Cricetulus griseus: one gene and its partners. The protein of the gene in region 3 interacts with the protein of the main gene of each other region in a biochemical or structural test. Links are inferred from orthologs where the notes say so. Each region holds a gene or a part of one and is shown on either strand. Other genes may lie near its edges. The genes, in order: Ubd, Rev3l and Mad2l1.

Region 1 (9,843 bases), on a different chromosome or scaffold from region 3:
TTTATAAGTTACATATATGATACTATCTGTCAGGAAACATGCATAGAAAAATTTTTATGTAAATTTTATCCAGTCCATCAACTATGATGGTTTCCATGCCACCAGATATTGGATTCAGCATCAATACCTAGGCCATGAAAATGAGGTTCTCTATGTTTCTTTCATTTCTTTTAAATTTGTTTGAGAAATGATTGACAGGAAAGCCCAGGATAGACCCAAGAAATCATCCACTTCAACCTCCCCCACATACACGTGACAAAATTGAGGCAGAATGCCATGAAGTGTGAATTCTATAACCCAAATAGCCAACTAGAGTTGACTGTGCTTGCTAGGACTAAGGTCTTCTCTTTCCTCTCTGACAGGAAATTATCTTGACCAGGCTATTCTGTGGTGACCACCACATTTACAGCAGGAGGTCCTGTGCTCTATAAGTCACCTCCACAGATTAGACAATAATATAACGGATTAAAATACAAATTCCTGTAGTCAGTGTATAGCTCAGTACTGAGCATATGCTTATCGTTCACAAGGCCCCCAATTCAATCCTCAGTTCAAAGCGTAGCGGAGTTGGGGGGAGGGGAGACTGAAGCACAATAAACATTTAAAGAGTTTATTTGAGCAAACAGTTGCTCCTGAATCAGGAGGAAGTGGTTTAGTGAGCCACAGTGGAAAAACAAATGGAACATTTTTGTAGGATAAACATAGAGGTAAAACAAAGAAACATTTGCTTGGAGGCTGGACATGGTGGCACATGTTTATAACCCCAGCACTCTGGAGGTGGACACAAGAGGGTCAGGAGTTCAAGATCACCCTCTGCTACAAAGGGAGCTAAAGGCCGACCTTCATGAGACCCTGCAGATAGGAAGGGAGGGAGGGAGAGGTGGGGCAGGAAGGGCAGGAAGAAAGGAAACACAGAGGCTGCCAGGTACAAAAACGGGACCAAAGGCGGCAGAAAGGAAGAAAGAAAGGGAGGGAAGGAGGGTAAGAAAAAGAAAATATTTGATGGTTACAATTATTGTATTTGGTCTATTCACATGAAAAGTCTATAGCTACATATATTTGTTGGCTGCTTCTAAGTGGCTGAGCTTACATTCTGTTTTTATATAATATAGGTATTTTCAAGAAGCGCTTCCACTTTGGTTTGCAGGTGGAACTGAGTTAAGGTCACCTGTGAGGCTTGACTGGCTTGTCTGCTCAGGCTCTCCTAGCTTCAACTTTAGCTGTCCATAATTAAAAAAAAAAAAAAAAAAAACCGGGCATTGGTGGCACACGCCTTTAATCCCAGCACTCGGGAGGCAGAGGCAGGCGGATCTCTGTGAGTTCGAGGCCAGCCTGGTCTCCAGAGCGAGTGCCAGGATAGGCTCCAAAGCAAACAGAGAGAAACCCTGTCTCGAAAACATACACACACACACACACACACACACACACACACACACAAAGTGGCAATGCTGCTCCATCTAGTCACACTCAGGCTTGACTTTTACACAGTGTACACTTTTAAGGAAAATGGGGGAAGAAGGCTCAGAGTGGATTATGTCCTTCAGTAACTGTCTTCATAGCAGCCCTTGGTAGATACACTGAATTTCTTCTTTAATTCCTGGAAGTGCATCCAGAGCCAGGGAGGCATACCTGATTAGCGATGGACTTGTGACACATGATTTTCTAAATCCTCAACCCGCTCCTCTGCTAAACATAAGCATTGTTTCCCTTGGAGGAGCTTGTGAAGGAATACTGGCGTGTGGCTATGTAGTGAAACTAAAATTAGGGCATGGGCTTTTCCTCTCTTGCCCAGTTTATCCCACAGGGGGGATTCTTGCTTGTCATAGATAGAGGTAAGACAGGGCCTCACCGTGTAGCTATGATTGACCTGAAACTCTGTGTAGACCAGGGTGGCCTCTGCCTCACAAGTGCAAGGCCTGCACCAAGCCCACTAGCATTAAACTTCTTTGTCTTACCCTTCCGAACCTTCTTGGAGTTTCCCCTCAGGCTAACCACAGCTCAGCAGAGCGCTTCCTGCTGCTGGGTTTTACGGACTGGCCCTCACTGCAACCCGTCCTCTTCGCGCTGGTTCTTTTCTGCTACCTGCTAACGCTGACTGGCAACGCGGCGTTGGTGCTGCTGGCCATTCGCGACCCTCGCCTACATACACCCATGTACTACTTCCTCTGCCACTTGGCCTTGGTGGATGTCGGCTTCACCACCAGTGTGGTGCCGCCGCTGCTGGCCAGCCTTTGCGGCCCGGTGCTGCAGCTACCGCGCGGCGGGTGCATAGCGCAGCTGTGCGCATCGCTGGCCCTGGGCTCCGCCGAGTGCGTGTTGCTGGCGGTTATGGCGCTGGACCGCGCCGCTGCCGTATGCCGCCCTCTGCATTACGCCTCACTCGCCTCACCCCGCTTGTGCCGCGCACTGGCCAGCGCCTCCTGGCTTGGTGGCCTGGCTAACTCAGCTGCGCAGACCGCCTTGCTGGCGGCGCGTCCGCTGTGTGCGGCCCGGCGTCTGGACCACTTCATCTGCGAACTGCCGGCGCTGCTACAGCTAGCCTGCCGCGGCGGCCGCAGCGCCACCGAGCGCCAGATGTTCGCGGCGCGGGTGGTCATCCTGTTGGTGCCTTCTGCCGTCATCCTGGTCTCCTATACCGCCGTGGGGCGCGCGGTCTGGGGTATGCGCTCCCGCGCAGGGCGGCGAAAAGCGGCGAGCACCTGTGGCTCTCACTTGACCGCTGTGTGCCTATTCTATGGCTCTGCCACCTACACTTACCTGCAACCCACATATAGTTACAACCAGGGTCGCGGCAAGTTCGTCTCGCTCTTCTATACGGTGGTCACACCCGCGCTCAATCCCCTCATCTACACACTGCGGAACAAGGAAGTGAAGGGAGCGGCACTGAGGTTCTTGAGGAGTCTGGGGAGGCGGCAGGTCGGACAGTGAGAGGACTAAGGAGAACACAGGGTCCGGGGATCTAGGATGACCATATTGTTAGTCTTTGCATGAAAATCTGCAATTTTGCCCTCGAGGAGTTCAGGGTTGGCAAGAGGGAGATCCCTTTCTCTCACTGGCTAGGATTTGGATTCTTGAGGGGAAATCCCGGAAATATCTAAACACACAACTATAGTGATGGGGTAAACGGCTCTTAAGACTTTCGACAGAAGGGAAGCATGATGAAGGAGGGGGACATCGTCACCCTCAGGAGACTTGGTAACCACTCCTGAAGAATCCACATGGAGATAAGACGATGGGCACCCTGGTGCTGACCTTTAGTTTTCCCCAAGTTTACAAAAGACCGTGAATAATTCCATGGTCTCAGCCATCAGGCAGAGTCCTTGTGCCCTACCTTACAGCAATAGCTTCCAGAAACAGGATGCAGTTTCTCTTCTTGGGGAGCCAGCCCAGCTAATACAGAACAAGCCAGGTGACCAGTGTCCACCACAGGGCATAAGACTACAAGGAAAATCTGCATGTATAGGCAGTTGTGCCAGGCCTGGTTAAGCTGGGAATCCCATCTGCAGGATATGGCTTTTGAACTAGTTTTAAAGAAGAGAAAGGACTAGAATTGGTGAAGATGAGAGAGCAGCCATGCATGTGGCCAGGAGTGAGACAGAGGAGCAAATAGAAAGAAAACGGAGAAAGCTATTTGATGGTGAAGGAAGTTCTATCAGTCAGAAGAACCCAGAAGTTAACCCCTTCCCTTCCTTACCCAGAGATGAACATTTTGTTAGGTGTTAGACACAGCAGATGGAGAAGGTACTAGATTTTATTTCATATCAAATATCTTTAAATAAGAAGAGGGGATGATAAGTAAATGAATTTCTAAATCATTTATTAGACTGTGATCCTATTGGGGCAAAAAAATCATAATACATTACTTCTCTGTAAGTAGACTCAATTTGGTTCAACAATTATTCAAGAATCCACCTGTCCCTGACTCCCCAGTCCTGGAATTAAAAGTGTATACTACCACACCTGACTAATATTTCAGTTTCCGCTCTCAGCAGCAATCCTGCCACTCAATGAAGTATGTCAGAAACAAGGAATCACGGACTTGACAAATGTTTTTAATCCACCCCCTCATCTCCAATTTTTATTTCATTGTCCTTAATTTTTGGAAATCATCAAAGGATGTGATTGGTAAAAGCTAAAAGGGGTGGGCTTTGATCCTCTTATCACCCCATCCACATAGTCAACCCCCAATGCAGTGCCCTGTCAGAAAGAGCAAACTGCCCCTCCTGATGTTGTAGTCAGCCATGGTCTTTCCATCTTCCAACCTCTTTCCATTGCAAGTCACAATCTGAGTCTTGGGGGTCACACCAGTCACACCCTCAATCATCTCTTTCACCTGGGCCACTGAGCTGGATCTTCGAACTGGGAGGAGGTGCCTTTGCCCTTCATTGGTTGACTCCACCAGAAACAAGTGCAGCTCTTCATCGCTGGGCTTCACCACCTTCAGCGTGAGGTGGATGGTTGTTTCCTTGTTAATGCCATAAGATGAGAGTGTTCTCTGGGGCTTGAGGGTCTTGGGGCCTAGCAGAAGGACCTGGTCCTGCACAGAAACCTTGGTTTTGGATCTGATATGTTCATTTATCTTCTTCACTTTGTCATTCTCAGTAGCGTCAAAGGTCATTGATGGCCATTTCTCAGAATGGACAATCTAAGAAAACAAAGGCAAGGAAGTCACCTAGAATGCCTGCCACCCTCTACACCCTACCCCTCACGTTCATTGTTCCATCTGCTTGGCCCTCCAGCTCCTACCCAACAATCTTATCTCTCCCTCTATTGAAACTTTTGTTTAATTGCCATATTATGACACAAATTAAAACATTAGTCTCATTCCTCTTGAGATATGTATATATACATATATATCCAATGTAATCACCAATTTCCTACCTTATTAATTTGCCTCTCCTAAGCCAGATATCAAAAGTAAAGACAATACAGGGCTTCAAAAGATGTATACAGATTCTTAAACAACTCCGAAGCAGATTTCCCAGATGTGGCAGCTTCAGAGGATACTCTCAGCCGTGCTTCATTCACCCTCTATGTCTAATTCAGAATGAACCCTGATTAAGTCATAATCTCCACACCGTTGCTTTCTTATTAACGTTCCCATCAATTTCTGTTAATGCCCAGGTTGTGGTGATGCTGTGCTTAATATTGTTTATATATTTTTTGTATTTTTTGTAACTATTGTTATAAAGCATAATATCCTCATTTAATTAAACCAGGATCCTAATCCTGAAGATAGGAACTATATCTAAGTTTAATTTCATTCGCTGCAGAATTCTGGAAGATGGGGGGAGAATCAGGCCTGCAAACCCTATGGAAACCTTCTCATACTCCATTAAAAAAAAACATCTTCCCAACCTAGATATTTCAGCTGTTCCTTCAGTGGAGGTGTCATCCTGTGTTGGGCACTGCCCTGATTGCAGGTTCTCTTCATGAGGACATAGTCTCACTTAAGGTAACATGTTAGATCACTGATAACTTAAATGAGATTAGGGGAATTTTCCTTTGAAAAGAGAAAAGCTTAAGGATGAGAACTCTGAAAATTATTTCTCTAATTTCACAGCTTGCCCATCCTGGTTGAAGCACAGTGCCCTGCCATTTCTCCCCAGTTTATCTGGCAAAATGGCTTATCTGATAAAATGTTCTTGCCACCAAGCCTCACCACCTGAGCTGATCCCTATGACCTAGGTGGTGGAGGGACAGAACTGACCCCAGCAGATTGTCTTCTGACCCTGCCCCTGCATGTGTGTGTACATACACAACAAATACAATAAGCCAAGTGACCAACCTCTCTCCAGAGTACCTCCTTTCTGTTGTGCAGTTATCAATGTCTGCCTTGCCTCTTAAACTGTGCCCACCCAACCACCTCCCCATCCAGGCACTGTACCCCCCTGAATTGTGGAACTGCATTCCCAAATGCATGGAAATACTTTCCCTTCAGACCCCAACTTACACAGATGCAGGAGGCCATGTCTGTAATGAAAGGCTGAGTGAGAAGAGAGTCCCGGAGTCTGCTTATATGTGAGTATCTGGGTTGGAAATCCCCAAGACCGTTGTGTTGTCCAGTTTAGAAACAACCTTTGTCCTCAAGAATTTCCTTTTGCTTTCTTTGGGGTGGAGTTAGTAATGGACACTCTTTGTACAAACTTCTTCCCTTAGTCTACTCCATCTGTACTCCTAGTTCTGAACATAGTATAGCCCTCCTATGATAAGGGCTTCCAAACCCACCTTATTACTGCCCAGCCATTGGCCTTGACTTTCACTGGCTTGATAATTCATGATACTTGGTAGCCCTCTCCAACTGCTTTTAAGAGCTCCAGACCTCTCTAGAAGCAAGGATACCCAGAGAGGACAGGTAGTATTGGTGCTGACCGACCAGACTATCAGGAACCTTTTCCCAATAACTGGGAAGAATGTATAAGACATTCGTATAAGACACAAGAGAAAATGACCCTGGACTTCAGAGTTATGTTATGGAAATATGCTCCCCTCTTTTAACACAGGTCTATAAAATTAGATAATTGTAGGCCATTCTTAATGTCTCCCCAGCTCAGAAAACCTTGCTTATAAAATGTTTATAAACACACACACACACACACACACACACACACACACACACACACACTTTGGATTCTCGGGTTTTGAACCTCTAATACATTTCCAACCCTGACTCAGGACCTGTAAATCAAACATATTACTTGAGAACAATCCAAAGCCAACAGTTAAATCCTGACTCCCACCTTTCTCCATATGTATACCACAGTTCCTGGATTTCCCCACTGTGATTCTTGGATACCTTCCTCCTCCTTGAGCTCAAAGGCACATGAAGGTGCTACTAGTTCCCTCACTCATGAGATTTGCTTAGATAAGACCAAGAATGTGAGTGAGCTGTGTGTCCTCAGGAAACTTACCCAATTACTCTAATACCAATAATATTCCTAATATTCCAAGCTTGTCACTGGCTTCTCAGGACATTCCATGGAACTAATTTTCAAAATTGTTTATTAAAAGTACTTTAGATATTTTCAAAGAATCCTGTAAAATTCCAAGTTATTATCTTTGTTTTCAGTATTTGCAGTGGCTATGTACAAATACCTTCACCTACTGAAATTTCTCTCACCCTCCTCAGTTCCTCCCCCATCCTCCTCACCTCCCTACCCATCCAACTTTATGGTCTTTCTCTATCTGTGTGTCTCTCAAACACACACACACACACACACACACACACACACACAAAAAAAAAAAAAAAAAAAAAACCCACAAAAATGAAAATCAAAACAAATAAGCAAAAGACCAATGAGACAGAAAATGCCAAAATAAAGCAAAATGAAACAAAAAGCCCACAAAAATACCAATGAGTTAGTCTGTATGTCAACTACTCCTGAATATGAGGCCTACTGTAAAGTATGGTTAATTTACCCAATGAGAGACTCCGTTGGAGAAAACTGATTTTTCCCTTTGCAATGCAGTATCAATTACAAACAGTTTCTTAGTTAGGGGTGGCACCATCCCTCCTTCTCCTACTGGAAGATCTTAAACAATTTCATTTTATTCTAGAAGGTCCCATTCTGAAGAACTTGGATTTACAGAGTACCTGGGTATAGTAAGACAATCTAAAAGCTTACTCAAATATTTTGAAATTCTAATGAAAAGTATATTGAAGCTCTTCTATTATTGATGTATTTGGTGGAGTAATATACTTTTTTAAACACAGGATTCACATGAAGGGAAGAATGCCTTGTAGAATATACTGAGTGCCGCTGGTTCTACTCTTCTCTCAGATCTCTCTCAAACTCCCAATTGTCCTCAAGGATTAAAATCCCAGTTTCTGACCACAACTGTTCAACAGGATCTTGGAATTCAGAAACATCATCAGTCTCCAGCAGAAAAATTCATCTCAGATTGAAGGTGAATGGGAAATAGCCTTGTAGGGGGATAGTGAGAAGGCCTGACAGAAGAGAAAGGCCAAGCTGCCAAGCTTGGTCTGCAAAGAGCTCCTTCACCTTTTAATTCCTTTCCGAAGTCACTACCTTCTTGTATATTTATTCAGAATTGTTTGGGCCAAGACTTGGGCTCTGAAGCCCTCACAACCTAGGCTTGGCCATTCATCCTCCATATGCCAATTAAATAAACAGTAATAGTGAAAAGCAGAGAATGGAGATTTATTCAGAGTGGTCATATTATCTTCTAAGTGTGACCACTTTGAATAAGGGACAAAGAGGTCCAATGACCCTCCAAGTCCATCTTCAACTCCCTGACATGAGGTGTAGGTGTTGAAGAATCTAGGCGAATTCATAACAAGTTGTCTTAACCAAGGTGTGGTCCTTGCCATAATCATTATTTAGGCTCTCATCTGTCCTACATGGTAGCCTGACAAGTTACCAGAACTATGTGAAATCTCCTTCCAGGAGACCAGCTCTCTACTCTGCCATCTGACTGGCATCAGGTTTCAGTCTTTTCCTTCTCCCAGCATGAGATTCCTGAGGAAATTCCAATTTGGGTGTTAGGGAGGCCTATTGCCTCAACAGTTTGACAGCTAAAGAGAGGAACATAAATATCTCTTTAGAACGTTTTTGTTCCTGCCCAAGCGTTTAAATATTCATGTTTCTCTAGGCAGGCAAGAGGGAGAGTAGATGGTAAAATGTTGCTTATAGCTACATACTCTTTTAACTTTATGTCCTTCCTTGTCAGTGACTGTCTGGGTGCCAGCATTTGCATAGTCACAGGTAGCAAGAGCTGCCTTGACCAAGAGCTGCCAGGAGAGTACAGTGCGAGTTTATCATTCTTAGCAATGATTTTTATTAGGAATGATTTTTGTTGTCTGATACTGCAGATCTGCAGGTCCATCTTCATCAACACATTTCCTTTATTTTCTTAAACACATGGAGCTCTGCCTTCCCCAGTCAGTAAGCATACCTTTCCCTCCAACATTACTCACAACACCATGAGTGTGTAAGAGCACAACACAGGCAGCATTGCCTCCAAGAGCCCCTACTCTTTCCCTCTGGTTCTGGGTTATTCTCCCATACTTCCTCCTAAATTCTTTTGAAGCCTTTTTCTGTAGCAATGGGATCACCTATCTGCTTGTCTATCATCCCCAGTGAGTCCTTGAAGACCATGATTGTGTTTTAGAACACTTGCATGCTCAGCTTGTTATCTGGCATAGAAAGATGCTTAATAAATATACAGTGTGTGAATAAATTAATAAACTAATAACAAAAAGTAATATTTAATGAGAATTTATATTTCAGAAACTGCATAAGATTATTAAGCATGACCTAATTTGATGTTTTCATGTTGTGGTGAAGAATTGGTATCTTTAGGGATAAACAAGACCAACCCACTAAAGTACTTAAAACCCATTTAAGTACTAGCTAGTCAGCAAGATTCTAGTGCACATCTTTGCTACGCTAGTCCTTGGCTTCTAGTCATATTATTGTTGCCTCCAAAGGAAGGAAAGAACAGAGAAAACACCCACTGCCGATGGGGGTTTCCAGACTGTGAAGGAGAAGCTATCTGGGGGATTTCCCACCAGAGAGGACTTAGGTTCTGAGAAAGAGTGCCTTTTCAAGTAATATAAACAATAAGTCTGGACTCTGATCCTTTCTCTTTTTCTTCCTGTCCCCATCCTGCTCCACCACTTTCTTATCATCATCTGATTTCAAGGAAAAGAACACAAGTTCAAGAAGACAGCATGAAGAAATATTCATAGATCTCAAACCAAGAAAAGCTATAATACCAACAACAGAGAAAAAGGAGACATATTCTGAAATTCAGAGTGTGTTCACCTAACAGAAATGAAGCTGAATCTAAATGCTATGAGTTACTTGAAGATATTAAAGA
Region 2 (9,710 bases), on a different chromosome or scaffold from region 3:
GTCAAAAAGGAATATTTCAAGGATTTAGGTATATAGTGCTAAGCTGCCCTGCAGAGAGAACTTTTCTTCATTTGTGAGCTACCTTGTATCTGTTCCTCTATGCAAATTTTTAGTTCTTAAAAAATTTAAAATGACTTAATCCATACTTCCTTCATGACGCCTTCCCTGGACTTCCCTTTTTGCCTGTCAGGTGGTCGCCTCACTCTCCTTTTGGAGTCCTCACTATCTCTTACACACATTTCTATTTCAAACTAATCATTCGATGTTCAATTTACACTTCCATGTCTATCACTGCTTATTTTCTGAGTTTCTGGAGGGTAACGCTGCTTTAACAAAGGCACACAGAATATGTTGACATACGCTATGCTTCTCCATAGTGTTCCAGATTCAAGAGGGCTCCAGCCTGCTTCTGATTTGCTGATATGACTTCAGTCAAATATATTACATAAAAATAGTCAAGCTTTCTATTTGGGACTTCAAATATTTATTAAAGTGGACAACTTTAGCCTAACTAGATCTCTGTGTGCTCCAGAAAATCTCTAATAATTATAACTGAATAGGTCTTACATGACCTTAAGATATTTTTGAGTGTTTAGCTAAAAAGTAAACAAGATTCTCAATTTTTTGAGAATCTAAGATAAACGCTATAGTTTTCAAAATCATACTTATAAAACTGTATTTAATAATCTACCAACTTACCAAAACAGGTCATTATAATAGTCCACTGCAGCTAGGTTTATAAAATAGAAGGAGAAATGGGTCAAATAAGCCCCTATACTCATGTAGGATTTCAGAATTATAATCTATGTTTGTAAAGAACCATCTGATTTCATGTTACTATCTCCAACAATCTATAAAAATACTTCAAAGTAGGAGAGAAAGGTACAGTAGTGAAATTCCTGATCATAATCTTGAGAGCAAGCAGCTCTTCTATTTACTCCTAACTCTGCATTTTCAGCAAGGGAAGCTCTTTGAAAGGGTAACTATATTTAACCTGGTGCTAAGAAAACCAAGAATCATCTAAGCTCAGCATGAAGGGTGCTACATCAAGTAATGAAGCATGGGATGAGATGTGGAAACTGGACAGCATCCAGTTCCTCACCTGAGTCAGGTCCTCAGTAGGATTCTATGTGAATTCCCTGAGTAGTCACACCCACATTCAGTATAAATGAAAAGGCAGGATCTCATACTTTGGTAATAATCTTGCTTTTTGTTCACTAAGACAAGTTACCAGAATGTTGGTTATAAAAGAAAAAAACACTTTTTTTTTCTACAAATAATAATGCTTGGGACACAGTTGCACCAAAATAATGTTCAAAACTTTTTTTAAACAAAATATGAGTCTAGGGCCAATGAAAAGACTTAGCTGGTTTTAAAGGCACTTGCTGCCTGAAGCCTGATGACCTGTTTGATCTCAGAAACTCACAGGGTGGAAGGATTCCCTCTGATCTCCACCCATGTACATTCATTCTCATTCTCTCTCTCTCTCTCTCTCTCTCTCTCTCTCTCTCTCTCTCTCTCTCTCATGAAAATAAATATAAAAAATTTTAATGAGTTTGAAAGAACCAAAGATTTAAATTTAAAAGTAATTTCATCATTCACATGAAAATAAGAAATCACCATATTCACTTAGCAAATGATCAAACCCATCAGTCGAACTTCAAGTATGAACATGTTACCTAAAAAAAGTATGTATATATTCGCAAATTTCACCAACTCAAAACACAGAGGCTTTTAAATACAAGACACTGTTTACATTATGCAAAATATGTCCTTAAAACAGGACAGCAAAAGTTAACTGGACTGTTTCCTAAAGCAGAAAATTACTTTTCATGCAATAGCAGTATTCCAATCAGTTCAGAATTTATAATTCTTAAATAGCCATTTTGAGAGAAATATTCTTCTGATGTTATTTTTCAGGCCTTCCTTTGAAAAGCAAATTCTGTTTAAAAAACATCTTTTCTCCAAACCAAAGTAAAGAATTAAGGACTTCCATAATTAACACCTATAAAGTGAAGACATGTTTATGGCGCTTCATGGACTTATCAGATGTTACAAATTTTCATTCATGTAGTTTGCTTGTTAGTAAAGATGTAAACTACCTGCATTTTGTAGTAGTAAATTTGTTTTCAATAAAAATTCTAGCATTCAGAATTTTTTTTTTCCAAGACAGGGTTTCTGTTCAACAGCCTTCGCTGTCCTGTAACTCGATCTGTAGACCAGGCTGGCCTTAATCTCAGAGATCCACCTGCCTCTGCCTTCCAAATGCTGGGATTAAAGGCGTGTGCCACCACACCCGGCAAGCATTAGATTTTTAATAAAATGTTCTGACCTCTCTATTACATTATTATTTTCAAGTTTTATTTCTCTATGTGGCCTGGACTAGTTTTCTTTGGGAAGAGAATTCAAAAGCAGAAAACTCTGCAGCTTAGTTTTTGAGACTGAATTAATATTAATTCCACTGGGATTTTCTAACATTAAGAAATGCTTGATTTATGAAAACTGTAGACGTTCAGTGTATGCCAACTACTTCAATTTTCTTCTTGTTGAGGAGACAAGAATTGTTTTATACTATGTAAGGAATTATTTTATTGTTTTCTCTCTTGACCTCAGCTCCAAGGCATATCCAACCAAGTAAATTATTAACATACATTAATGAATGAATCATTGAGTGCTAAACTGACATTTATATTCATCCATGTGTCATGCTTGAAACAGAAAATTTTGTTTAAGCCTATAAATTTTACCTCTTTCAACCGGATAATCTCTGGCAATTTGAAGTTTGAAAAGTATGTTTTTATTCATTTACATTAGACATTTCAAAGTATACCATAATACAGTGATTTTTTTCTTTTTTTTTTAATTAGGGGCTAGTGACCTATTGTAAGATATTCAGGAAGGAAAGAAGAGATAAATACTTCTTTTGAAATATTTCACATTCCAATATTCAGAAACACAGGTGTATATACCACAGTCTATATATATGTAAAGGATATTCTTCCACAAAACTGTGCTGTTAGTGATAATCTGTGCTGTATTTCCACAAACAAAACTTTCTTACATAATACACCTTTAAAATCACCCAGAAATACATATTTAGTGAGTGTAGCAGGAAAAACAAAACTGTAGAAGAGCAACTCAACCAGCGTACAAACTGCTACACCACAACACATCCTATTAGCATGTTGCTCTACAACTTGAAAATCAACTTCACTTATCATTCTCTGCCCCTGAATCGAGAACAAGCAGGGTGTTTCCCATCAAAACAAAGACAGCACCACGATATTTAAAAAGGTAGAAAACCTATCCTGCAGAACAGTATAATGCCTCTTATCTTCCAGTCTTTCAAGTACCAAGGGCTGTACTCTGCACAAACTGTTAACAGCATTCGATTTCTCTATCTTCCACGGTTCACAGCGTCAAACTCCCACTATTTGAAAAAGGAGTCTTTTGCCAAACCTTATTTATAGCATTGACATTTTTAACAAAGAGAATTCACATTAAAAGGTAATAGCTTAGGATGGGGGCCTACATTTTGGAAAGTGGTATCATCTTGGTAGTGCACAGAAGCTGACGATAATAACAAAGATGAGTGGCGATGAGGCCAAGGAGCATCAAGTGGGAAATGCTATCTAAAATCCCATAGGGCGAAACCTGGGCAAGAACATCTTCCTCCAGAAAGCCGCTCTATCATTTCACGTTAACAGTTTAAAAGCATGTAAAAAGCAAAACAGAAAAAATGAAAACAGGAAAACCATGTGTATTTGGCCACTATCCTATTTATATTATAAATTCCAACGAGTGTTCCAGAACATAGCTTCTGTCATTTTTCCCACCATTTCTTCGAAATAGTCCCCCCCCCCTTTTCTATTTTTAAAATGCAGCCCTACAACCCAGCCTAGAGGCATTTAAAAACGTCTCTGCTGCTGAGCTTGGCTGTGTTTCCTAACGAATTCACCCCGTTAAGTGTAATATTTTATGTGGGGCGACACAAGCACGCATTTCCTATTTCCACGGATGCACGTTTCCTGAAAGCATTGCACCTGAGGATGCCGCTCTGTCCCCGCCGAGGCATTAAACTCTAAGCAGTCACGACCTGCACTCCAGCACAACCACATGGTCACTTCAATGAGAAAGATTATCTGGCCCCGGGCGCCACTTTCTACAGCCACAGCTTCTCCGGCAGGGGCAGAGGAGAGCGAGGGTGAAAAGAGGCAACAGCGAGCGCCTGACAACAGGGCTGACACTTCCCCTCAGCGCTCAAAGCCATTTCTAGAACAGGGCTCTAGGGAGGCGCAGCGGGTGTCCGGGGTCCCACCAACCACCGACCTCTGAGGACCCACCCGCGAACTCGTCCTTGGGGGGACGAGGCACAGCCACCGAGCCGGGGCCCCAGCCCGCCCGCCGCTCGCACAGTCCGTACCCGGCGCCCGCTGCCTCTCTGCCGCGGAGGGGGGCGCAGCGCTCGCACGAACCCACATTTTTCTGCGCCTCCTGTCACGCGCGGGAGAAAAGGCGAGCAGAGCGAGGAAGAGGGAAGAGTCCGCAGCGACCCCGGAGAGGGCCGGCGGCCGGCGTGCGCGCGACTACGCGGCGGCGGCGGGGAGGGCAGCCCCGGCGCCCCGCCGCTCGCACTCCCGCCCGCCCGCTCCCGCTTACCTGCCGGGGTCGCTCCGAAGACTCGTACCACCGGCACCTTCTTGACAGGGAGCTGGGTGAGGGGGGATTGGCAGATATCCAGCCCCCGCAGCGGGCTGGCCATGTAGTAGTCGGCAGTCACTATCCTCACAGAAAACATGTTCGCCGCCGCCGCCACCGCCTCCCCTCCACTGGCGACCTGGCAGCGGCGGCAGCAGCGGCGGCGGCTCCGCAGAGGCGCCTCCTCCCCTTCTCGCTCGGGTCGGCTCTCTCCCTCCTCCCTCCCCTCGCACGGACGCCGGGACGAGCGGCGACGCGCCGGGGGTGCGGGGCTGTGGTGCTGCCGCCGCCTCCTCACACGCTCCCGGCGAGAGGCAGCGGGAGAGAAGCCCTGGCGCGTTCGTCGGGTCGGGTGGTGCCGCTGCTGCTGCCGCCACGGCCGCCGCCGCCGGGAATCACACGGGCTCCTCGGTCCCAAGCTGCAGCTCTTGTTGCCATGATGATGATGTCACGGACGCAACCACTGGGGGAGGGGTGGAGGGGTGTGTGTGTGTGTGTGTGAGTGTGTGAGTGTGAGTGCGCGAGGGTGGCGGCGGCGGCGGCGGGCCGGGGAGGGCGGCGGGGTGGGCCGGGCGCGCGCCCCGGCGGGGACCCGGTTGGGGGGCGAGGAAGGCGTTCTCCCCGGCCCGGAGCGCGCGGCTTCGGCAAGAGCACGGCGGGAAGCCGGGCCGCGCGGCGCACGCCGAGGAATCGATGATTCGGCCTGTGGGCTGGGTCACTGCGGCGGGGCCGGGGGAGCGCCGATATCATGGATGGGCTCGGAGGGGCGCTGGGTTTTGGAGGCTCCTCGCGCTCGCCTCGCCGACCGCCATTTCACGTCCTCTAGAGGAGGCGGGCGCGGCCGCGGAGAGGATTTTTTTTTTTCCCCCCCCGCACAAGGTAAGGGAAGCCGCCCGCGGGAGAAGGGAGGCGCGGCGTAGATCTCGTGCGGCCCGGGCCTCGCGGGAGGGAGGGCGGGCTGGCGGCCGGGCCGGGGCGGGGCGGGGCGGGCGGGGCGCGGGACGAGCCGGCCCTTCTCAGGTAACGCCGGGCCGTGCGCCGTGCGCGGAGCCCGGGCCAGCGCGAGGGGCGGGGGCGCGCGGGCCTCGGCCTATAAAAGGGCCGCCCTGGCGCTCGCTCGCTCGCTCGCTCGCTCGCTGGCTCCCCCGCCCCCAGCTCGGGCGAGCCCGGCGCTCCGCCTCGCCCCCTCCTCTTCTGCGGTGCTGCAGTGCCTGCGCCCGGCCACTTAATGAGATTTATTCACGCGCGGCCCTGCCCAGCTTTGCCCAGGGTTGGCGAATACACAGCGCAGGGATTTCCCACCGCCGTGTTTTTCTCCCGCCCCCTGTTTTCCCCCCCTGTCCCCCCCCCGCTCGCCTTCTCCCTGCACCCCTCTCCAGGACTAGTGCATTGACTGTGGTTTCCTCCGCGGCCGTGCAGGCTGCACCCCAGCAGGAGCGAGCGAGTGCACGTAAAGACTTGTTTGCCCCCGTCACCTCCCTCCACTCCGCTCCCGGCCGCGGGGTAAGCCCTGAGAGCTTTTCAGAGAAAATGTTTGGCGTAAGGAACAAGGCTAATGAAAGTCGCCGCGTATTTCTGAACACGTGCAAGATTTTACTACGGGTTAACGCAGAAGAAAAGGGGCGTGGGGTAGGACCGTTAGACAAAAACCAACTTTATTTGGAGTCTGAACGGTTTTGGAGTGATGCAGTTAGGGACTGGGGGCTGTGGAGGGAACAGATGCTGCTGCTTTGGATATTAAATTAGAACCTATGTTTGGCTTGGTCACTAATAATTGGGCGTGACCTTGGACAGATAATTTGGTCTCTTTAGGCTTAAGTTTTCTCTCGTGTAGAACGAGAGCTTCACTTAAAAATTAATCTTTGTTCCCCTCCCCCCCAAAAAAAAGGATTTAAGAAGTAGGACAAAAAAACTATGGATTCAGCTTTGAGATTTGCTACTGGAATTAGGACACTTGTCAGTCAATATCCATCCAAAGTAGAGCTCATTCTGTCCCACTTACAAAATTATACAGGTGATTTTTTGCCTGATATTATATCGCCTTGTATTTGGAGTGGTATGACAGCTCCTTGTTTGCAGGCATTGTAGGTTTTCACATAAAATCAAAAGGCTTAAAGGGACACTTCACTGAAAGAGGGTTCCTATAACATAAATGCTAATAAGAATTTATGCTTAGGGTGATTTGAGACCGATCAATACTGTAAATTACACTCAAGCACATCATAATAAATGGCAAGACAAGGGCATAACCTACTAGCAGCTTTAGTACAAGGGAAATATTTTAAAATTTATTTTAAGTACTAAAATACTATAGTTGTGATTTTAAAATAAGACTGCCATGCACAAGCCCTAGGTTCATCTGTAATGTCCAAGTGCATACTCACCATGTGTTTTCTGATAAATATACAAGCAGAATGTCATATTGACAGTAGCAGTGATTTCCATGATGTTCTCTGGCGCTTACAGTATTTTTTAAATTGTGATTTTGTCACTTACTAAATCACATTTTGGGGGGATGGGAAATTGAAATCTGTATTCTTAGCAACCTTACCAGTCAGCCCTGTGAATCTCAAGCAGTGTAAGATTGAGAGTCCTGTATTATATTTTGATGAAATCCATACATAATTTTTAAATTATACTGTTTCTAACTGATGAAAAGTAAAGGTATCAAATTAAGATTAGGCTCTTTCTAGAACAAGCTTCTTGACTGTTGCCTCTGGAAACATTATTTACTTTTTCAAAAGGCACTTAACAATCACGTTTCACATTTTTCTAGAACTCCAAGGAAATAGTGTTCACTTTTGAAAAACATTTACAGCTTTGAGGTGAGGAATATTGTTTCTGTTACATGTAATTTAAAGTTTATGATCAAATAAGAAAACCTGATAACAGTCTCCTAACCATGATTTAATAGTTTTTATAAATATATTCTTCCTGGAAAAAAAACTTATAGCATTTTTAGTTAGTGAACTCCATTTTAAAATTTAATTTACTAGGTAAGTGAGTTTGTCTGATAACTATCAGTTTATTTTCTCATCTATGAAATGATGAGAAAATCATTTTTTTTCAAGCATGTAATCAGACTCAAAATTTAGTAATATGGGTGATAGTTCACATCCAGATGACCACTCTGTGTACAATATGTACAATGCCAAACGTGAATTTAAGTATCTTTTTTCCAAATGGCTCTCATTTGCTAAGATAATGAGAGAAATGGTGATAAGGTCTCTATCCTTGCAGAGTTTATATGCCAGAATTATATGAACTGTATTTTAATGATAGCAACTAATATTTGTCCATTTTTCTAGTTCATTGACTGACACTTATCCATTTACTCAGAGCCTTCCTACCTTCTGTATCAATACTTTTCAACATCAGTTGAAAACATTTGCTTCTGAGCAATTGATTATCTGGAATAGTAAGCAAAGACCACCCTATTTGTGTGTGTGTGTGTGTGTGTGTGTGTGTGTGTGTGTGTGTGTGTGTGTGTGTGTGTGTGGAGGGTTCCTGTTGGCTTACAACCCGTCCATTCTGTAATAGCAACTTTTCTTATTGTGGCCAGAACACATGACTAGAACAAATATACAGAGGGAAGAATTTATTTTGACTTAAAGTTCTAAGGAATAGTCCATAAGAGAAAGACGTGGTAACAAGAATTTGAGGTTGCTGCTTATATTTGTCCAGGCAGGAAGCTGAGAAAGATGAACTATAGTGCCCAGCTCACTTTCACCTTTTAATTTATTCAGGGACCCCAGCTCATAGAATAGTGCTGTTCACAGTCAGGTTGGTTTTTCCCTTGCCAATTAAACCTTTCTGGAAATACCCTTGTAGACAAAACTTGTTTCCTTGGTGATTCTAAATCTGACCACATTAACAATGAAGAGTAACAACCACAACCTTCTAGCTTGCTCTTCTATACTTTATAAGCTGGCAAATAAATTGGTTCAGACTCCCTTGCAGCTAGGGTACTAACGTGAGATTAGTGGTGTGATGATAAATAATTATTACCAGCCAAAAGGAGTATGGACCACCTGATATTTAGTGTTCAAGTTTCTACAGTGACTCCCAAGCCACCAGAATGATTTTACGTAAATGTGAATTAATTGGAAAGGATGCTAATAATCAGAAACTGGCTTCAGTGTGTGGTTTAATTTCCAGCAGTCAAATGCACTGATTCAAGGTATGTTTCTGAAAGTGGGCAACATAGCAATTCACCTGTTTGGAAAGATGAGGTCTTCTGGCAGACACCATGGTGACAGTAACTGATTCTTCTGGGGGGAATGCTAACATTTATTTGCAGTGTTAGAAATTATGACTGGCAGGTGGTATGTATGGATGGGTTTCACAAGAACAACACTAATGTGAGTTGTGCTTTCTTCTAGGCATTGTTTTTCCTGGAAGTTGTTTCTAGCTAAACCTTGTTTCCTGGCTTTGAAAGATTTGTGATCTAAATTGTATCCATTAATCCTTTACTACTTAAACTAGCCCAGTGATGTCCAGTTGCATAATTTGTGAACCTCAGAGCAAAATGAAAATGTAGCTTCTGGTTCCACTCCAGAGACAAAATGTCATTTTCTGTACTAAACTATTATGCTGTCACTGCTTCCTCTTCTCCCTCCTCCTCCTCCTTCTCCTCCTCCTCCTTCTCCTCCTCCTCTTCCTCCTCCTCCTCCTCCTCCTCCTCCTCCTTCTCCTCCTTCTCCTCCTCCTCCTCTCTCTCCCTTCACTGGCCATGGTGTTTTCTAAATTTGCTGATTTGTGGCCTAGACTGGCCTGCAACATGTGATCTTTCTGTCCTAACCTCCTGTGTGCTAGGGTTATAGGCATACAATACCACCCCCAATTTAATTTGCTTTTTAATGACAGTAAGTTTAAGGGAAAAAATGAAAATTTAAATTCTTATGATGAATTACACTATTCATCTTTATATTGTACAAAGGAGTTTTCAATGCAAATAAAACAGTATTTCACTCATGTGGACCAAAATTACCTAATTGGAATTTCATGTCTTC
Region 3 (9,818 bases):
GATATCTGCACTAATTTCAAAGGACATTTGCCTCTTCACATTAACTGCATTGTTTGAGATGAAGGCAGCACATAATCTACTGTAGTATCTGAATATAATAACACCACACTATTTACCAAAGGTACTATAACAAAAATTTTAAGACACAGGAGTTTTTTTGTTGTATCACTGTCATTTAAAGCTTGATTTTTTTTTTATGAAACATTAAAACAAGAGTTCTTTATTACAGAAATTAAACAGTATCAACTGCTTTGTGAGTTCAAGGTATATACACTGAAATCAATTAGCATGTATTTCAATGTGAGTCTATACAAAAAGAAGTGACAAATGGGCCCAGCAAGGCAGTATTCATGACTCAGAACTAAACACAGCTTTAGTTCCTTCTGCTGTATTTACATTCAGATGCTTCTCTGGTCAAGATTCCTGAGCTAACTGGTTAGGGGATGTATTTAGCTTTCTAACAAAAGAATTTCTATCTACAATGACCACTTCTACAGGAATCCACTCCACAATTCTGACAAAATCTGTTGGTTCCCCTTAATAATTTGCAGCAATCTTGTTATGTTGACTCTATGGCAAGTCCAGGAGGAACCCAACAAATGGAACCATGGGCACATTTATCAAAGTAGGATCCTGGCTTTCTTCACCTGAAAATGAACCAAGGGAAGAAAATTCATCAACTATATTTGACTCGGTATCTGGAAAAAGACACTAGAGAATGCTAATTCCATTGTTTCCTCACCTTCTCTTCAGTCATTGACAGGGATTTTGTAGGCCACCATACTATTCACTTTGTGGATTGTGGTAGTAAATGAGCGCAGACGGACTTCTTCAGAATTGGTAATGAACTGGGGTCCTGATTCTTCCCACTTTTCAGGGACAACCAAATCTTTGTCAGTGTAAATCAGCAGATCAAATGAACCTAAGTTGGGAATGAGATTAAAGCACAGTACTTTTTAAAAATGAAGCTGTCCTCCCCACCTAGCTCACCAGGACTCATTTGAACCCTACCTCCTAAGGAGATAGCTTATCTTGCTCTAATTATAATTTTCCTCAAGAAAACATGAGTTTAGAACAGAGGAGTATACTTTGTAGTAGAAAGTGAAAATAGTAAAAGGAATTGTGAGAAAGCTTTCACGTAGAACTGTAGACTATCTTAATTTTTCAGCATTTTCATTGTTCCCCTTCATTTTGTTGAGTGTGTGGGGCGCACATGTGGAGGCCCCAAGCTAATGACTGATGACCCCTCCACTTCATTCACCGAGGCAGGGCTTCTCATGCAAACCAGAGACTGACAAGATGGCTAGTTTTGGTAGCCAGGTTGCTTGGGTGATTCCATCTCTGCCTTTCTGGGCTGGAGTTAGAGGTGGGCGCCCAAAACCACCTGGAGGGTCCTGGAAGTGGGGATCCTAACTGAGTCCTCACACTTGCTCAGCAAGTGCTTTAACCACTAAGCCACTTCCTCGGTCCTTGCACTCACATTTTCTGGAACACACATCTGTTTTTTGTGCTGCATTCTGCTTCCTGTATCCCATTTATATTTAAAGGCAGTGATAAATTATGAGGTTTAAACAAATGGGGATCCTCCCAACAGCAGCATACATTTTCCCACGCAAATTTAAATAAAGAGATTGTATAATACTTACAAGAAACTTCCAGCAGTGGCAGAAAGGTCACGGTAGCTGTGATTTGCCTGATCACTGAACGGATTTCATCTTGAATGGCTTTGTGTGACTTTTCTCTACAAACACTATAAGAGAACCAAACAGTTCATTCTAGGTTTCATTAAGTTAACTAAAATACACTGGTGACTATTTATCTGAACAAAATGCTCCCAACAGCACAGAAGCAATATATTAGGAGACTAAAGATATTCTTGGGCTACTGTATCTGCATCTGTCCTTCCCATCATCCTTCAGGACTGAATTTAGTGTCAGGTCATTCAGTGCATGACGATTACTAAGTTTCTCAACCACCCCGATAACGACAGGTTCACTAACTCTTTCAGGATATGGATTCTAACACAGAAACTTGGTAGAATTTTGGCACTTTTTCTTCTAGTAACATCTAAGTACCTAATTCCTTATCAAATCAAGTAAAATAAATTACACATAAAAACTTCCATAAGCTAAAAATTTCCTACAGACAAAAGAGCAAACTGCTCTTCATTATAGGAACTTATAGAAAAGTGTGTCTAGCATTAAGGAAATTTCTGATGTAGAGCAACTGAAATCTTACAGTTTACAAAGTTCACGGCATTAGATGGAATAGAGCCACATCTAAGTTAGGGACGGGTCTAGGCTCACTTCCTGCAGTTAACAGTACCTTTAAGCGAGTATTAAATAGTCCCCATAATATATTATATCATGGTTTTGGTATAACCAGAAATACAAAGGTCAAATTTCACTGGGTTTGCCTAAAGACAGAATGTTAAAAGCATCTTATCTATACAACCACTGACAGGCTAAGAGGAACTCAAGTCCTCCCAAGCCTGTATCTTTAAAAGCTTACCATAAATAAAGAGGGTAAGAAATCAGTCCAAAACAATTTGAACTCATGTAACAACAGAAGCTGTGAAAAACCAAGCAGGAATAATTTAATCCAAACTTACCCATCTTCTTTTGCAGTCTTGTCACACTCAATATCAAACTGCCATCTTTCAAGGACCTCACCACTTTCAATATTTGAGATGACCACCACCAGCTTCTGAACAGAGCACTTGTAGAGCCACTCTGCAACACACAGGGCATCACTTACATTCTCACTGCAACATAACTCTCTTCTAAAGACCCACTTTTTAGCTTTACAAAATTCGAACAATGGTAATTTGGACTTCCTTTCATTTACAGGGAAAAGCTTCCCACTAATAATTGAGGCAATTTTTAAATTCTTCCCATTACTAACAGGTGCAACCAAGGGCATCACAGTGAACCTGTACTTCCACTGTAACTCACAGTAAGGGAATAGGGTATAGGCTTTCATCTAACCATTTTCAATACAACTGTCATGTCACATCTGTGGTGGCTGTTAGGAACAGAGAGATAGTATAAAAGCATAAAAAAAAAAATCTGATCCATTCTGGTAGGCGAAGGAAAGATTAGTTTTTTCGTTAATTCTGCAAAGGAGAGGGAAATACAGGCTTTAAATACCCAAAAGTGAAGAACATATATAAATTGGCAGGACAATAAAATTACAAAGACAAGGAAGAATATACTATTATGAAAAATCAAGATGCTATATCCTGTAAAATCTTATCTGTGGAATTAATGAAACTATGCTTTTAAGAATCAGGAAAACCACAACTGTGTTTTAAGCAGAGTGAACAATTAAACTTGTGTTTCCAAACTATCATACTTGGTAGTAAGTTAGCTGGAGGGGGTAAAAAGAGGGTCTACAGACACTAGGATTCAAAGTTCATAGCATAAACCGGTAGAGAGGGAACAAAGCAATTTCATGCTTAAAACTGTTAAGATTATCTGATTAGCTTTCAATAAGAATCATTTTGATTCGAGGCCAGCCTGGTCTCCAGAACGAGTGCCAGGATAGGCTCCAAAGCTACACAGAGAAACCCTGTCTAGAAAAACCAAAAAGAATCATTTTGAGGTAGCTTTCAGGTTTCAGACTTCATTTCTCGTTGGACTGTTAACCTAGTAACTAATGAACAATTCTCGAGATCATCCTACATTTAGTTTTTATTCTGCAGAGTATAAAGCATACAGAGATGTCACGTTGTTTATGAGTCTGGAGTAGAGGGTTAGCTTAATCACATAAAAGTTGGTAGTGAAGTTGTGAATGGCACAGATAATCTAGCAATTATAAAGAGGATCTCAGATGGAACCCTGAGTTAATACTGAAATTGGGATAGCAACTCAGTATACATCATTTTTCTTTTGTAAGATTAAAGTTGGAGGGAGATGAAACCAACAGGAAGAATGGAAATCATAACAGAGAAACAGAAAATACAAGAAAGAAAAGAAAGAAAGAAAGAAAGAAGTAAAATGCTTCTAAAAAGGCTAGAGGAAATGGGACTGAAAAGAAAGAGAACAATTTGCCTATTCATAAAGAGCAATTCCTGTGTTTTAACTAGGACAGGAGAAGTGAGTGACAACAAAAATGTAGATGAGGTACAATGTCACCAGTGACAACCTGTAACCCCAGTATCAGTTAAGGCTGGATTCTCTATTGAACCAGGATGATGATGATGGTGATGACACCTAGCAATAGCTATCTAGCAGTTCCAGGTCAAGTATGAGTGACATCCAATGACCATACATGATTCCACCCTGACCCACAATCTGGGAAAATAATGAGAGATGGGCTGCTCCTCTCAGCGTATACGTATCTTGCTTGCACTTGAGAATAGAAATCTATCTCCACATATTTATCAAGTACTTCACCTTTCCTATTCTAGCTGTCTAATCTATCAAAGAAGTTCTCAACCAAGAGCAACTTTATCTACAGGGCTTCAAGGTTATCGAATTTCAGGATAGTCAAGAGCTTTTGAGAGACCCTGCCTCAAAAGTAAAACAAAACAAAAAAAATATGGCCTTAAAGAGATGTCTATGTTCAGCTGGTCACCAAAAGAAGGTCATTTTAATGCTAAAGTTAACAACAACAAAAAAAAAATGCAATGAACACTGTAATGAAACTACAATAGAAACAAACTAAAACATCTTTGCAAAAAAAAATTTCTTAGGAGCAGTGGTGCTCTTCCTAAGAATTGACACCTTCTTCGGGTCTTTTAAGGAACCAGGCATGCACCTGGTACATACAGACATAACCCAGGAAAAACACCCAAACACATGAAAAACTAGAGAGAAAAAAGACAGCTGTAATGCTTTTGGAATTGGTTTTTATAAGACTTTGTTGGGAGATACAAGGCTAAACACAGAAAAGATTATTATAATTAGAATGGCAATCCTAAGTGGTGTGCAACACGAGGAACAAGGATTCCAGAAGGAATAGAAATAGGTGGGAATAAGTATTGGCCAAACAGGCAGCACAACACTGAGCTACGAATGAATAAATAAACTGTCCAGATACTGAATTACAGCCACCGCTTTTAAGGAAGATAAAGAGAATAGTTGAAAAGTAAAACCGGAACTTTCCTGTATATTGTTATTTAGTAATACCCTGGTTACAACAACTGCAGCATATCAATGGGTGTCTAAGAAGAGCAAAATCATCTCGTGTAAAACCATCAACTCGTTGTACCTGTTTAAACCGCAAAATGCATTCCTAAAGCAGCTGATAAGACACTTCCGACTCCGAGACGCCTAACATCAATACACTCAGGCTACTTAAAAGCAGTGGGAGAAAGGATGGGATTTCCCTCCATTACTTCCTCCCTCCCAGTCCAGAAGCGCTGTATTTGAGAAGGCATATTGCTTTAAGCCACCCTCGTAAACGTAACCCTGTCAGAGGTAAAACTCAAAACGTGATTACCTTTCAGCTGTTCGACCACATTATTGAGATACTTTATGAGCTCGGGGTCAGTAGTTACAAGCAAGGTGAGTCCGTATTTCTGCACTCGAGTAAAGGTTTCCGACGGGTATATGCCACGCTGATACAAAATGCTGTTGACGCCAAACGCTGAAAACGAAAGGAATCGAGCAGTGAACACCTACTCACGTTTCCAAGTCTTCCAGAAAGCAGAGCTGACACAAAACGACACCGGAAAACCTTCAACCCAGCAATGCCAACTCTCACGACACCGCAGTCTAAGTGCAAATACACATGTGCTGAGCGGATGTCAACACAGACCCCGGCTTTCAAAGCGCGAATGGCACGATGCCCCAGGGAAGGCCCCTCCGTTCTCCGCCACGGCACGAACGAGCAGGAGACCGGGCGGTGGTTCCGCCCTAGCGCGTCCTAGGTCCCGGCCAGGCCGCTCTCCGGCCGCATTCAAAACTCACAAAAAAACTCGGCCACGATCTCCGCGCTCCCGCGCAGGGTGATGCCTTGCTCTCGGGCGAGCTGCTGCGCCATCACTCGATCTAACGGAGACCGCTGTCAGCCTCACCGCACACCGCGCCCTCCCGGCTCAGCTCCTTCAGCTATTCCCCGCCACCCGGTTCAAAAATAACTACGCAGCCCGCGGGGCGCTCCGTGCGCAAGCGCAATGTCCCGCAAGCCCCACCTACACCGCCGGTTTCCGGCCCCGGCCCCGTCCTATAAACGCCTCATTTCTCCCTAAGCCCGCCCCATACTTCCGGTTTCCGCCCTAAGTCCCTCCCCCATAACTGAACCCTCTAAGGACGGTCTGCTCTCAAGATTCCGTCCAGAAGCGCCGCTTCCGCTGTGAACGCAGTCCCTCGAGGACCAGAGAGCGGCCCCTAAGTTCCGCCCAGAGCCACTTGTATCCGGCCCTGGCTCCGCCCTCGCTGCTTGCGCAGGCGCAGAGTGGGCCTGGCTCCGCGCTCTCCGGCTTCCCGCCCGGGAGGGTCGCTGTGGGTGGGGCCTCTGGTCGGGTGTCCAGGAAGAGCCCCAGGGTGACGGGGTGTCCAGGAAGAGCCCCAGGGTGACGGAGGGAAGGCTCGCCGGCTAAGTCCAGGTCCGAATATCCCCGAAGTAGTCTCAGCTTCGTGGATAGTTTGCAGTTTGGGAGAGCCTGTGTTTTGTGTGGGAACGCGAATTTTCTGGAGAAATATCAGAATAGGGACTGGGTACAAGAGAAGGCTCAGCCAGTAAAGCCAGTAAGGTGTGTGCCTTCAACACACACACACACACACACACGAGAATCACACACACACACGAGAATCACACACACACACACACACACACACACACACACGAGAATCACACACACACACGAGAATCACACACGAGAATCACACACACACACACAGTAAACACACACACACGAGAAACACACACACACACACATACACACACGAGAATCACACACACACAGTAAACACACACTCACACACACAGTAAACACACACACACGAGAATCACACACACACACACACACGAGAATCACACACACACACACAGTAAACACACACACACGAGAATCCCTTCAACACACACACATGAGAATCCCGCACACACACACACACACACACACACACACACACACACACGAGAATCCCTTCAAAACACACACACACACACACACACACACACACACACGAGAATCCCTTCAAAACACACACACACAGTAAACACACACACACACGCACGAGAATCCCTTCAACACACACACACACACACACACACACACACACACACACACACACACACACACACACGCATACAAGAATCCCTTTCTTTGTAATTAAAATAGCTTGCTTTCAAGTTCTTTGGTCAAACGCTCTTCCTTTTTGAGTATTTAAAGCCTGTACCAGAGCATGTAAAGTTACACATGGGCTTCATGTTACTGTTTTTTTTTTTTTTTTTTTTAAACTTTTTTTTAAAGATTTTATTTATTATGTATACAGTCTTGTGCCTGCGGGCCAGCAGAGGGCACCAGATCTCCTTCAATGTGGTTGTGAGGCACCATGTGGTTGCTGCGAATTGAATCTCTGGAAAACAGTCTGCTCTTAACCGCTGAGGCATCTCTCCAGCCCCATGTTACTGTTTTTATGTTGAACAGTGTACGGGGTCCAGGAGATGGCACGTCTTCCAAGTGTCCCAAATGTTTCTAATGCTGGTACACAGATCACACTTTGAAACCAATCGACTACTACAGATATTATAATACGAATGTTTAAGAAGCCTGAATTAAATAGTTGCCAGAGAGATGGAATAAGGGTTACATCAGAGAGCGAAACTGTGGAGCAAGAGTTGATGACAGATGAGGAAGACGAATGAAACGGGCATGGGTAAAGCTGAGGTACAATGCCCTGTACTCCCAAATGGTGGATTTTTCTAATTACTTAATCACAGCAACATTTAAGATTCTGGAATCTTTGAAAGTTGATTTCTTAACTGTTAACTTTCGAGCACTTGATTTAACACTCCTCCCCTTACCAAAAGCAATACTATAAAATGTTTCTTTGAAACTTCTTAGACTGAGTTTACTTTTCCTCATAATTCAGTGAACTCTTGCTGTGTATTGTTTAGGGAAAGGATGTTTGAATGGGGAGGAGTAAAAATTGAGTCTTTTTTGATAAAGCGAATCCAAACAATAAACAGTCATTCTCTTATTAATAAAACAAATAAATATGGAGATATGTCATAAGTAGGCCTATATTTTATATTAGGGTATTAAAAACAATTATTTGATATTTTTCTAAATCTAGAAGCACATGAAGGCCGAAGAACTCCATTAGTGACTTAGTTAAGTAATCTTATAGATAGGAACTAAGATCTAGGGTAGTTACAGAGTTAGTCCAAGAACCAGTATCTAGTTAGGGGCAGATTTATTGTAGAGTTTAGACTGCTTACCTTAGTGTCCTTTTAAAACAGAGTTGTTTGAAACATGCCAATAAATTTCTTTATTATTGTGAGGATTTTGGCTGGGGGCAAGATTCGGGCTAAGGACATAATTTGTTTACAGATGTGCAATAATAAGCTATAAAAAATTTTGTGTAGATACACAAATATTTACAATTGCCAGAAGAGGGCAGTGTTTACCTGTACAATGAAACCTTTGAAACTAGAGCTGAATGCTTGTTAATAGTTTTTAGGCATTTGTGTGTGTGTGTGAAACTTCAGAATGAAATGGGCCAGCAGTCTGAAATATAATATATGTGCACCATACATATTGAAAATACATGTAAATGGGTTCTTGAAACTAAGTAGTTTATTCTAAATCCCACAAAACCGGGTATACATATCATATTTTTGAGCAGTTTTAATCTGCTGAAGTTTCTTTAAAATAATATTTTTATACTGGGGTTGCATTATGTGGATTTGAAGTGTTTGTTTTTTAGTTCTGTTTTTTTTTTTTGTCCCAAAACTTAGTGTTACTCAATTTCCTTTTTGGTGTTGTTCTTGAAACGGGCTCCCATGTATCCCAGGCTGGCTGAAAACTTTTTATGGAGCCAAGGATGACCAGAGCGTCTTCTCTTCCTGATTCCTCAAGCTGACTGCTAGAATCACAGGTATGTGTCACCATGCCCCATTTATTCAGTAGTGGGAATTGAAGCAAGGACGTCGTACAAGCGCTCTTTGAGCTGCATCCTCACCCCTTACTTTTTCTTACAGAGCATACTGTTCACTTGAACAACAAGAATTATAAAGCACTCATTTCGTGTTCTGATTACCAAGGCTCATTTAATATGTCTAATGAATATACATATATTTACATGGTTTTCACAAGTAAGTTGTAGAGTGTAATTCTCTTCAAGTCCTGTTCCCCTTCCTCATACTCCCGCCCGCCCCCAGCATTCTTTGATATGGGACTCAAGTGCTCAAACAAGAACACGTAACAAATTTTATGATGACATTTAACTAATTATCAGTGCTTTAAGTGTTATTATTTGTGTATGTGTATGTCTGAATGTGGGTTTATCCATGTGAGCACAGTGCTTGTGTAGGCCAGAAGAGGGTGGCATATCCCTTGGAGCTGGAGTGTGAGTCATGGAACTTGGTTCCTGGAGACAAGTCTCAGGTCCTCTGGGGAAGCAGCAAGCACTGTTCACTGCTGAGACATCTTTCCAGACCCAGCATTGCTTTAAAAGGTCAACAGATATATTTCCATAATGGTAGAGTTTATAATTTTAATGACATGATTGCACACGTGGTAAATTTTTAGTAAAAATTAAGTATGAAAAATTATTGAAAACTAATATAAATTCTTACAATAACTAGATGGCTTATTATCAGGAAGCATTACCACGTTTTGTTATCTACTTCATTTGTTATTT

Evidence for each region.
Region 1: the proteins of Mad2l1 (region 3) and Ubd form a complex in vitro, tested with the Homo sapiens proteins (2 studies listed by BioGRID). The link is inferred for Cricetulus griseus from reciprocal best matches to the Homo sapiens genes MAD2L1 and UBD.
Region 2: the proteins of Mad2l1 (region 3) and Rev3l form a complex in vitro, tested with the Homo sapiens proteins (2 studies listed by BioGRID). The link is inferred for Cricetulus griseus from reciprocal best matches to the Homo sapiens genes MAD2L1 and REV3L.

What each region holds. Positions count from the first base shown.
Region 1 is NW_023276806.1:228,536,191-228,546,033, forward strand, and holds Ubd (ubiquitin D), read right to left. Parts: upstream 6,515-9,843; 5' UTR 5,972-6,514; coding exon 5,954-5,971; intron 4,646-5,953; coding exon 4,178-4,645; 3' UTR 3,801-4,177; downstream 1-3,800. UniProt on the Homo sapiens protein: Ubiquitin-like protein modifier which can be covalently attached to target proteins and subsequently leads to their degradation by the 26S proteasome, in a NUB1-dependent manner.
Region 2 is NC_048595.1:262,228,863-262,238,572, reverse strand, and holds the start of Rev3l (DNA polymerase zeta catalytic subunit), read right to left. Parts: upstream 5,131-9,710; 5' UTR 4,799-5,130; coding exon 4,660-4,798; intron 1-4,659. UniProt on the Homo sapiens protein: Catalytic subunit of the DNA polymerase zeta complex, an error-prone polymerase specialized in translesion DNA synthesis (TLS). Lacks an intrinsic 3'-5' exonuclease activity and thus has no proofreading function.
Region 3 is NC_048601.1:76,483,342-76,493,159, forward strand, and holds the start of Mad2l1 (mitotic spindle assembly checkpoint protein MAD2A), read right to left. Parts: upstream 6,118-9,818; 5' UTR 5,989-6,117; coding exon 5,916-5,988; intron 5,593-5,915; coding exon 5,446-5,592; intron 2,733-5,445; coding exon 2,612-2,732; intron 1,751-2,611; coding exon 1,647-1,750; intron 923-1,646; coding exon 750-922; 3' UTR 743-749; intron 648-742; 3' UTR 1-647. UniProt on the Homo sapiens protein: Component of the spindle-assembly checkpoint that prevents the onset of anaphase until all chromosomes are properly aligned at the metaphase plate.